2 linked regions of the Drosophila melanogaster genome follow. The protein of the gene in region 1 purifies or fractionates together with the protein of each later gene. This does not show direct contact. Each region holds a gene or a part of one and is shown on either strand. Other genes may lie near its edges. The genes, in order: CG13126 and bsf.

Region 1 (4,533 bases):
TATCTCTTTGCTTTCGGCGGATTTCATCAGCAATTCGCACTGTTTCCACGTTAAGAGTTTTGGTTGAGTGCTGCTGTAGCTCGTTGGTCTTAGCTTTCTTGGTCACCTGCTCGCCTTGCTGAGTGCTTTCTCCAGGCCCCAAAACACTGTCGTTTAAGAATGTAAAGACATCCACACGTTGTGACTCACGGACGTAGGCCTTCTCATCAGCCTTTCGCTGTCGTCGCTGGGCGCGCTTTAGCTTTCGTTCCACGCTAAAATAATCCTTGTCCCCGTTGGCGGCCTCACGCAGCTCCATGCAGGCATCTAGAGATCGACCCTGGGGAAGTATCTGGGCGCTTACCGGGGTGACGATTCCCCTTCCATCTGAGCCAAGACCAGTACCATGGATGTAACCCATTTTCTCCATAAGCTTAGAGCCGATGCCCTATAGGGAATAGTATTTATAGGAATTTAAGTTTTCTGAATCGTAATCTGCTCAACATACCCGTGTGAACTCCTCCCAGGCGCCAAGTCGTTCCGTCGGCTTAAAGGTAAACAAACTCAACTCGACCATGCGTGCTCTTCTAGCTTCCTCCAGATCATCCATATCCGACTCCGCCTCGTCACTGCTGTTGTCGTTCATGCTGGAGTTGCTCTCCTCGCTGGAGAGCTCGTCATCCTCATCCTGATCGGTGGTAAGTGGATACAGTTCTTCGAACTTGAAGTCTCGTTCCCGCTCCTTGTGATCCTGCCCATCCAAGCGGACGCGGCATATCTGCTCTACGAAATTTACACAAAGGACACGACCTCGATGCCACAATCGATCTGGTAGCAGGGCAAAAACTGGACGACTGCGGGAGAGTTTGTGGAAATCGGGTGGATTATATTTTCTAATGGAGCTACCGGTGACAAGGGCGCCATGGGAAAAGCGACACTTGGCCTCATCAAAGCGGCACTCGCCTTCGAGGTAATACGAACAGGGCAGCATTTCTCGATGCGTGGGATTCGTAAAGAGAACCCTTAGTCGAGCATCCAAGACGCCTTCGCTGTTCATAACCACCTCGTCGTCCACTCCGCAGATGAGGGCATTGTGGTAGCAGGTGCCCCAACTGTGCTCGTGTGGTGCGGAGCACTTCTCGCCCACCATGGCGGTGTACTTGGTTCGCAAGTCAGCCAGCTGGCGTTCTTCATCCAACGCGGTTTGTGAGGAGCCGGCCGCCTCTAGGTCATTAAGTTCGCTTTTGAGCCGCTGCAGCTCATCATCCAGATTGTCGCCCTGCTGAGGTAGTTCATCGATTGGTGCTTCATCTCCTGATTCCCGGGTGAGGGCCAACAGCTCCTGCAGATTGTTCTTTAGGGCCAAAAGATCCTGGCGTTGCGCATCATCCGCGGCATTTTCCAATGCCTGCTCCACAACGAGCAACTGTTTGATGCAAGTATTTTCATAAAAATAGTTGGGATCTCATGTTATCACCTTTGCTCACTTGTGCTTCGTATTCTTCCATTATTCTTTAAATTTATTATTTACAACATAGTGCTGATGGCAAGTTTGTTTTCAGATTCTAAGGAGCAAGCACACAGTAGAGGTCACGGTTATAGTACTCTTTTTGTTCAATTGTTATGTTTTCTCGACTATTTTTGGTTGCTTTTTAAATTTATTTATATAAATTGCTTATATGGTTGAAGGTAGTAAAATTATTATTATTAAGACATATGTATATTAAGAATTCTATTAAATGTTAACTCAAACAGAAAAAAGATGCTATTAATATAGCCGAATCTGTGATTGAGGCAAAACGTCTGGCAGCACCGTCAGCTGATGGGACTGGAACTTTTACAGCACTGGCAAATCGCCGGTAAACTCGTGTGGCTCTCATTTGTTTTGATTTCTCGGTTACTTATTACTTAACTAATTAGAATTTAATATGAATTTTTCACTGAATTTCACAACGAGAAATCTAGTGCCACGACTGCACCGATTCACCAGCAAGATTGCAGTGGACGTTGAACCAGCTGTGGTCTCTGCCCTGGAACATGCCACACTGAAGCCCAGAAAACATCCCGGAGTAGTGAGACCCAATCATGTGGAACTGCCGAAACAATTGAATGATACGCTAAAGCGCATCGTGGGGGATCATCCCGTCAAAAAACTAATCCACGATGGCCAGCAGCTCAACGCCTATATCAAATCCCGCCATCCACCACCCACGCTGGAAGAGATTGAGAACAAGAAACGCATCGTTATCGAAGAGGTCAACACGAAGATGCCTCTGGATCGCCTAGCTACACTCGACGAAGACGAGGCGGAGCGTTGGAGGCGCAAGCGGGAGCTGGAGATCAACAAGAGGCTGGGTCAGCGTATCTACGCCTGGAAGCGAATAGAATATGGAGCATACGAGTCGCTTGTGTACGCCATAGCTCGTGGTGCCCAGGAGTACGCCGTGTTGAAGCGCGTTCTCACGGAGCTGGCGCAGCGGGATGAACAGTTTCGGCCACGAAGCTTCTTTGACTTCGGATCCGGCATTGGAACCGGTATGTGGGTGGCCAGCGAACTGTGGCGCGAACACATATTCGAGTACTACAACGTGGACAGGTCCAGGGAGATGAATGAGATATCAGAGCTCATTCTGCGCGATGGCCATGAGAACAAGCAAATAGCCCTGCGCAATGTATTTTATCGACAGTTCCTGCCCGCCATCGAAACCAATTATGATCTGGTCATTATATCTCATACGCTTTTTGAGTTGGAGAACAAAGAGCAGCGGGAGGATGTGCTGCGGAATCTGTGGCGGAAGTGCGATGGTTACCTGGTCATTGTGGAGGAGGGAACGCGCCGTGGCAGCGAGTTAGTCAACGAGGCTAGGCAATTTTTGTTGGAACAGGAACAAGAAGGTCACACTGTGGCACCAGTAAGTTTCAACGTATTTGCGATGTAAGGGTAGTAATCTAACTTATTTATACATACCTTTAGTGTCCGCATGATTTGGTCTGTCCTCGACTTCGGGATCTGGCCGATCGAACGCCCTGCAATTTTCCCATCTCCTACGCTCCCCTGCGTTTGGGTAGCGACTTCTTGGCAGACCGTCACACCTCCCTCTACAGTTATGCCATCCTGAAGAAGGGTTCCCAATCCGATAGCTCAAGCTCCTGGCCGCGCATTGTGCGTCCCACCTTGGTAAGGTCAAAGCATGCCATCTGTCGGCTCTGCACAGAAAAGGGCACTCTCCAAGAGGTTATCTTCACGAAGTCCAAGCACGGAAAGTAAGTAGAACCACAAAAGGCTTTTAAACTCCTCTTAAGCAATTGTATTTTCTCTGCAGGTCTGCCTATTCTTGTGCAAAAGTGAGTCGGTGGGGTGATCGTTTACCTATGTCGCTGGGACAGCCGCAAATCAAACAAGAATCAATCGAATCAGAGGAACCACCTGTTTTGGCGTAGTCTAAGATGTTGAACCAATTATATTAGGCATAAAGTCACGACCTGAAGCTAATTGATACTAAAACTGGCATCCAATTAGTTGACTTAATTATGTGCAAACAAATCGTTGCGGGTGGAGCTGAATTTAATTAAACAGTTGCATTTAAGTTAACCATACAATTCAAATGGCAAGCGAGCATGCTCATTGATACTAAATTTTGTTCAACGGCCAACACACCCTCATCTGGATTTTAATGTATGGCAAGACAAAAGGCGGATGCGACTGCGGATGGGTTGGCCCCGCCGGTTTGGATCGTTGTGTTATATAATGTCACCTGTATATAGGAGCCTTGGGCTGACCATTGGTCGGCGATTTCAGCACGCCCAGTGTTCATACATATAGGTGCCATACACATACTGCTTTCATTATGCGTTTTAGGTTTAAGTCTTGAATTTAAAAACGTATTTCATTTGTACAATAATGTTGTTAAATATATATTTAAATGCCAAAATACAAGTTTTGGCAAATCAAAGAGTCTCCTGTCTTTTAATTAGGGATAATAGATTTCTTAGTCGAAATGTCTGGACTGAATATCTGCGTTTCGTAAGCCAATCCCAGTTTGGCTGACATTTAGTTATGAGAGTTTCGAAGTCTTAATGGGAGACGCGCCCTTTTAACGACCGCGGATCATCCCCGTAGCCATTCATCGCACCTCGAAGTCCTGTGTGCCATCAAAGGACATTATGTGGTTGGAAAAGGCCAAAATGTGGGGCGCGAAATGTGGCTAGCCGATGGAAAGGGGAGTGGGTGCGGAAGGACTACTTCCATGTACATCGGGTTTTAGGGATTGGCTTTGGAACAAGGTGTGTTTCAGAGCAACGAGCCGTGGATACATAACAAGGGACTATCCTGTGAGACTTCGTATAATAGGGCTTATACTCTTCTATTAAACTTCATTTAGAGCAACTCATTGATCTAATCTTGTACTATAATGGCTGATAGTGAATTTTTCATCTTTATATACATTTTAAGTTATATAATAAATTCCCTTTGAATAATTAATGTCCGTCTTTAGTTTGAAGTATAGTAATTTTTAAGATATTTATATATATATATTAAACTATAGGCTAGTT
Region 2 (7,442 bases), 8.5 Mb from region 1:
GGAGGGCAAGCCGGCCGCTTTTTGCGTGGCAATTTGTTTGTGTGTATTGCAATTTCTGGCTGCACTCTCTCGTTCTCTCTCTCTCTCCTTCTCGTTCTCTCTGTCACACACACACACACACACACACACGGGAATACTTAAGATTTAAGCTACATATTTTTTTTAAAATATATTTCCCCCTTTGTAATGTGCATTTTAATCAATTTTCTCGCTTACCAGTGGCGCAAATAGAGAATGCAACCAGACATCGTTTTTTTTCATTTTTGAGACGGCACACTAGATCGCACCTGTCAAACGCAAGTTATTTCCCCCTGAGGAACACAAGAATCCGTCACAATTTGCAGTGTAGTTACGCACACACATACGCGCTGCCAATACGAGTACACCACAACACGCACACAGCTGCAGCGGGAAGAGGAAGCGCGATTCGCGAACCGCCGTGTGCAACGATACGTTTGCAAATGAAATGCAATTTCCAGTTCCAAATTCGCCACAAAAGAAAGCTACGTCGACGCCGACGTCAACGGCGGCGTCTGCTGCAGAAATGACGCTCCGCAATAGCAGCAAATGAATAGGGAGCATGCAGTTTCTCTTAGTCAGGTGGATTGTTCTCTTTCTTTGCGGTGCATTTACAGCGCACTTTTGGCATTGCAAACACAAAGACAGCTCCGAAAAATTAAGCTAGAATAAAACATGCATCGTATGAAGACTACAAATATTAAAGACTATTGCTTCAAAATTCCAATGTGACCCATTATTTGTGAATTGGGAAAAGATTTGTTTCTATTTTATTTCTCGAAAAAGTTTTCAAAATAAAAGTCCTAAGCTTTTTTTAATTATTTTTTTGTTTGTCTTGTATTAACTTTTGTATTCGCTGACGATCTTGAGACCGTTGGCTGGCTTTGTTTTGCTTTTTTCTGAGTCCCACTGCCGTGCTGTTGTTATCATGTTATCACTATTAGGCGCTGGGCGTCTTTGGATGTCGATTATGTGTGGTGTACATATGGGTCTGGAGTGCTCCTAGGCAGAGTTGTGGATGTTCAGACGGAAGATGTCGTGAGCCACGAAGAGGGATCCTCCGTTGGGCTTCAGCAAAAAGATCTGCGAGAATGCATGTGGGGGATCGTCATCGCATTTTAGTCTTCCAAGGACGATGATCAGAACTCCGCCATCGGAAGTTGGCTGCGAATCCACTGTGGTTATCACTCTGGCAATCTTCTGAAAGCTCAGACTCTGAACTTTTTCCAGAATCTTGGGTGCTCCCTGTATTTGGTTGCCTTCAAAGGTCATGAAAGAGTCGGTAGCGTTATAGAAATTAATCACGTTCTCCCGATTCGCCGGGTCATCGAATATGGCGTAGTACTGCTGGACAAATTCCTTGCCAATGTCCTCGTACTGCAGATTCAGAGACATTTTAGTTCAAGTATATACGGGGTACGATTAGAGTTTCCGATCCGAAAAAAAGCAAATTAAATCGGTTAAGCTGACAGGCTTAGGCACTGTTCAAATATCCTCTCGTTTGTGTCACCGCTAAGCTGATACATTTGATTTGAACGTTTTGGTCCCACCGAAAACAATCGATTGTCGCAGGTAAACATCGATAGGCGCGAAGAGACATCGGTTTCAGCCGCACTCGTGCGAACGTCATTTTAATAATAAGCTCATTTATTAATTAAAACCGAACGATTCCGCCATGGCATCCATCCTGAGGACGGGCAAACTGCTGCGCTACTTCGCCGGCTTCACACGCAATGTGCTGGTGAACTCGGTTCGCGAGAACGAGACGAGCAATCTGCTGAACAATGCGCCCTGCATGTGCGGCCAGTTCCAAAAGTGAGTAAAATCTGGCCCCAAATCGCCGGCATTACGCAATGTGCTCATGTATTTACGTGATTAGTGGGGAATCGTCCACTTTCCAGCGATTGAATCCCGAAAAGAGGCGCACGTGCCGCCACTTGGGATCATCGCAGTTGCATTCGACTGATGTCTCACATATTTACATAACCTCATCCGGATTTGGAGCGCCTACTATGTGCTCATCCAATTTTGGCCTTAGTCGAGCGTTTTTCTTGTAGAAAGTCTAGTTATATATGTAGAAAGAAGCTAAATATCTTATTTTTATTCAAAAAGCAACACGATTATCTTATAACAACTCAGTTTCTCATTAAGGTCAGCCGGAAAATAATCTATAAGGACGTTAGGATTTTGTTAATTCATATATCTTTATATATTAATTAAGTTTATTTTTAATTATCTTCCTAGTGGTTTTGCCACGAATGCGGCGGCCAAAGCTGAGTTGAGTTTGGATAAACAGATTCGCCGGCTGGACCAGGATGTTCGTCGCATTGGGCGCATCTCCAGACGCGATCTGGAGGAGGTGCTCGATGAGATCCGCTCACACAGGACGGCCACCAGCTCGCAATCGCTGCTGGTGATTCGCTGCTGCGGCAACCTGGTACCGGAGGAGCTTCCCGAGGTCAGAACTGCCTTGGTGCAGGAGATCTGGAAGACGCTGAATGCGCTGAATGTACCCATGGACATCTCGCACTACAATGCCCTGCTTCGCGTTTACCTGGAGAACGAGCATGGGTTTGCTCCCACCGATTTTCTGGCAGAGATCGAGGCGAAGGGCATCGAGCCCAATAGGGTGACCTATCAGCGATTGATTGCTCGCTATTGTCAGCAGGGAGACATTGAAGGAGCCACTAGGATTCTGGAATTCATGCGCGCCAAAAGTCTACCCGTCAACGAAAATGTCTTTAATTCACTTATCCTGGGTCACTCGCAGGTTAGTCATACAGAAATAGATAGGTGGTAGCCATGTTTTTAAATTACTTTTTAAACGATTCTTTAGGCCAATGATTTGGAGTCCGCCAAGGGTATCTTGGGAGTGATGATGCAGGCCGGCTTGGAGCCCAGTGCTGACACCTACACCACTCTCCTGTGCGCCTTTGCGCGCCACGGAGACCTGGCTGCCGTAAAGGAAACCCTAGCTGAGTGTGAGCAGAAGGAGATCATTTTGCTGGACAAGGATCTGCTGGACATTGTGTACACTCTTACCGTCAACGGCAATGGTGAACACGTGGATGACGTTCTGACCAAGCTTCGTCTCTCGCCTGGTTTTAATCAGGATGCAGTGAACGTGATCCTTCGGCTGGTCAACAAGGGACACGAGGATGTGGGGCTGAAGCTCCTTCGCGTGATGCCAAGGAGCAGTCGTGTGAACGGTGAGCCCGTTGATGTGGGAGCTTTCTTCATCAGGCAGATGGTTAAGGCCAATCGGCCAGTGGAGAAGATCTTGTCCATCTGCAAGAGCCTGCAATCAGAGGGGCTTAATCCCAAGGCTCTGACTATTGCCACCGAAGCTGGCTTGACCAATGGCGTAATCAATAATGCGCTTCCCTTGCTGCAGGAAATGAAAAATGCTGGCTTGCCCATCAGGCAGCACTACTTCTGGCCTTTGATCTGTTCCGCGGAATCTAATCAAGTCTTGGAAATCGTACGTCGCATGCAGCAGGAGTTCTCAGTTTTCCCCAACTCCGAAACGGTCAGAGATTATGTCATTCCCAACTTGAAGGAAAAGAACTGGGAAAGAATCGTCACCTCTCTGAGGGATGCTGGGGTTCCCAACTCCACTGCTGTCACCTCGGCCGTCTACTCCGCATTAGTGACCCACCAGATTGCCGAAGCAGCCAAGATTATGGAGAAGAACAGAGCTTACTACGTGCCCTTCTTGTTCAAACAACCTTTGATTCTGGCCCTCAGCCATACGAACGATTATGCCTCCTTCATCCGATGTGTCCGCCAAATTCACGAAGGATTGCAATTCAGGCAAGGCAAGGATGAGGAAGTTGAGCAGGTAGAAGGCGTGGCTGCCGTTCCGACGGAGCGCATCACTCCCGATGTTGTAGGTGCAATAGTCCAGGAGGCAACCACCTATTTCCGCCGCGATCGCGGGGCCACGTTGGAGAAAATCCTCAAAGGGTTGGTCAAGCAGGGCTTGTCCATTAGCAGTGACAAAGCCACCCAACTATCCGAGCAGTTGGGTTCCGAACTGACTCCAAAGATTTCCGAACTTCTGGGTAAACTTAGCTCGGGAGAACTGGAGCCAGTTCCTCTTCCAAACAGCGGCAAGAGAAGCCTGGATTCGCTGTCCATCAATGGTAAGTTGTTAGATGTTATTAAAATACTTATCTAATATCTATATATTTTCTTTCAGAACTCGAGCGATTCATTGTGAATGTGGAGGGCAAGGGAGAAAATGCCAACAACATCAAGAGGCAACTCCTCAACGCCTGTTTCCGTTCGCAAAACTTGGAGAAGACCCTCCAGGTCATCGAGAAACTCGAGGCCGAAAAATTCCAAATCCCCGTTGGCATTTATGCCCAGCTCATCGATCTGAACACGCATCACAAGAAAAGCTCTGAGGCCTTAGAAATCTATGGCAAACTTAAAGCAAAGGACGCCACTTTCCAGTTGGATAACTTGAAGGCGGTTCGACTGGCTGATCTTCTCTTGCAAGAGGAACGCGTGGATGCTGCTTTTAAGATACTGGAGGAGAACAAGAAGGAAGTTCCCGTAGCCGAGGCCGAAGGAAGCTATAATTACATGAGCACCGTGTGGAGAATTTTGAACTCACTAGCCGAGGCCGGTCAGCCGGAGAGGCTGCGCAAATTGTTCGACGTACTGGTGGGGGCCAATTATATTGTGCCCACCAATGTGCTGCTGGGTCCACTGATCAAGGTTCACCTGGTCAAGGATGATATTCCCAAGGCAATCGAAGCCTTCGAGGAGATTTGCCAGAAGTATAAGTCCACGCCTTGGAAGAACGAGCTGGCTTGCCGTCTAATACAGAAAGAAGATGCTGCCAATCTGCAAAAGTTAACAGACTTGAGCACTGGAATCCATGGTGAAGTAAACAGCCTTTACGATCTGGTCTTCTCCTTTGTGGAGTGCGGCCGTGTGCGGCAGGCCAGGAAGATCCTGGAAACCCCCGGACTGCGTACCCGTCCGCAAAGAATAAACAGTGCCTGTGATCGTTACAAGAATGAGGGACTACTGCAACCGCTGGAAGGTCTTATTGAAGCCACGAAGGACCTGGGACATATCGACAGGAATAAGATTTACTACACGCTCCTCTTGAGCTACGACAAGGCAGATGAGGCGGAGAAGGCTTTGGGACTGTGGACTAAAATGCAGGAGGAGAATGTGACACCAAACGATGCTTTCCTTTTGAAATTGGCAGAAATCCTGAGTAAGAAAAATATTGACGTGCCTTTTGTGGTGCCAGAGACCCAAAACGAACAAGCCAAGGCCAAAAAAAGCAAAGCGAAAGATGCAACGACAACAGAAGCAGCCACAGAAACAGCTAAAGTAGCAGAACAGCCCAAGGAGAAGGCTGCGAAAAAGGAGCCAGCTAAAACGGAAACAGCAAAGCCACCCAAAACCGCCTCCCATTTGTCCGGCTTCCGCAAGGCAATCCAGGCCAATGATCCAGATGCAGCCATCTCGCATAAACAAAGTGTTCTGAGTGGCGAGAAAATTGGAGCTTTGGACACCTCTCGACTGATCGAGCTCCTGGTTCGAGCTGATCGCTTAACGGAGGCCACCAAGTATGTCGAGGAGCTCCTGGGCGATAAACTGCACCCGCAGCCCAAGATCTTCAAGTTTTACCTGAACAAAATTGCCGCTGCAGGCGATCTGGAAACAATGCAGAGAATTGGCCAGCAGCTGAATGACGAGCAGAAGCGTCTGATTTCCTTTGACAATCGGTTTTGTCATGCCAATATAGTGGCCGGAAAGGCGGAGGAGTTCCTGAAGCACTTGACCACAGAAATCGATGCGGCCAAAACTCCCGAGGAGTCAACCAAGCTGGCTGAGAAGTTCCCACGCGGAGGAGCAGTTGGCATTTTGGAAAAACACCCGGAATTGGTGCCGCAATGTAGGTCCCAGAAATGCCTATTAAACAAGTGTTAAAACTATAAATTTTTCTGATAATTTTCAGATCAATCCCTCGCTGAGAAGTTTGCTGCTCACAATCAACTAGGACCCATGAATGTCCTGTGGATGCATTTGATTTCCACTGGCCAGGAGGCGGCTTCTAAGGAGATTTGGGATAAGCACCTGTCCAATGCCCCAAGGCTGATGTTCCAGCGCGTTTTGCAGACGGCTCGCGAGCAGCAGGACGAGAAGCTCGCCTCCACAGTCATTTCCCAGCTGAAGAACAGCAAAATCTCCGAGGGCGCGATCGGAAACGCGTACTCCTGCCTCATTGACATCCAGACTACCAAGGGCAACTCCGACAAGGCCATGGTTGTCTTGGCCAATGCCATTAAGGACGTATCCTTGGAAAACATCAACAGGACAGCTCTGCTGCGTCTGAAACAGGCGGTGGAGGAGAAATCCCAGAAGTTCCCCTACACGATCCCCGAGAAGCGGACGAAGGCCGACGACTCCAGCTCGTCCTCCTCTTCATCCTCCAGCGACGACGACGTGTCGCCATCGGTACCGGAAACTGTTCCACCCAAACCGGACAGCAAGGCCTAGAGGTTTCTGCAAAAGGTCCTTGTTTAGTGTAGGCCGTCGTGATTAAAGCTTATTTTTAAAGTATTTACTATGGATAAACAATTTGTAAACTAAAATAAATTTAGTTGTTTTGTTGCGAAAGTGCGCCAGTTATTTTTCTAGGGGATTCAACTGAGCGATAAAGGATCTTTTTTACTATTTTCAAGATGAAGCTATCATTTTTAATTTTCAATAAAATAATGGTTCAATTCATTCCCTTAAGACAGATCCTAAAATTAATTGGAAGCACGCATGATGTTGTAAAACACGATTGCCCGTTTTGGAGCCCAAAAATCGCTAAAAAAAAAAAGTTTCGTTTCAAATTTAATGTTCTTGTTCCATATCCTTGTTCCATTTTCGAGCTGATATTCGAAATTTCTGCAGTGCAATGAACCAAATATGTTATAACAAATATATTACACTGTTTTAGTCGTAAAAAAATCGTTGCCCTTAAATATTGAGGTTCGCTGTGCTATAAAATTTACGATAGTGCCATATTATAAAATTAATTTTAAAATATCATTTTTTCTAATGTGGAACTTGAATTTAAATTTTCAGTTCAATTTAAAAAACACATTTAGCATTTCTATAGCTGACTATCGAAACTACAATTTCGATACGATTTAGCAGTCAAACACATGTGTATATCGATACCGTCGCCACTGGTGTCCCATCTCTAATTCTATCGCCGCGTTGTGTTTTTTGCTGCCCAATAATTTTCATCGTTGTTTTCCCTGAAAATTTCTCGAAATAAACGCGCGATGGGGGAAAGCGATGCCGAGAGCGATTCGAGCAGCAATTCCAGCAGCAGCGACACTTCCAGTGGCAGCGACAGCGACGCCAGGAGCGAGTCCTCGTCCTCCGAAAGCAGCGGGCGC

The links.
Region 2: the proteins of CG13126 (region 1) and bsf purify together in Drosophila melanogaster (affinity purification with mass spectrometry, with the first as the bait; one large-scale study listed by BioGRID). This does not show direct contact.

The regions. Positions count from the first base shown.
Region 1 is NT_033779.5:9,951,468-9,956,000, reverse strand, and holds CG13126 (uncharacterized protein), read left to right. Parts: upstream 1-1,819; 5' UTR 1,820-1,907; coding exon 1,908-2,891; intron 2,892-2,953; coding exon 2,954-3,243; intron 3,244-3,302; coding exon 3,303-3,420; 3' UTR 3,421-3,929; downstream 3,930-4,533. Other genes in the region: CG4709 (uncharacterized protein), read right to left, coding at 1-427, 488-1,405, 1,467-1,487.
Region 2 is NT_033779.5:18,448,738-18,456,179, reverse strand, and holds bsf (bicoid stability factor), read left to right. Parts: upstream 1-1,592; 5' UTR 1,593-1,693; coding exon 1,694-1,833; intron 1,834-2,262; coding exon 2,263-2,788; intron 2,789-2,854; coding exon 2,855-4,163; intron 4,164-4,219; coding exon 4,220-5,941; intron 5,942-6,004; coding exon 6,005-6,546; 3' UTR 6,547-6,663; downstream 6,664-7,442. Other genes in the region: Ntf-2r (nuclear transport factor-2-related), read right to left, coding at 1,021-1,413; ncm (nucampholin), read left to right, coding at 7,326-7,442.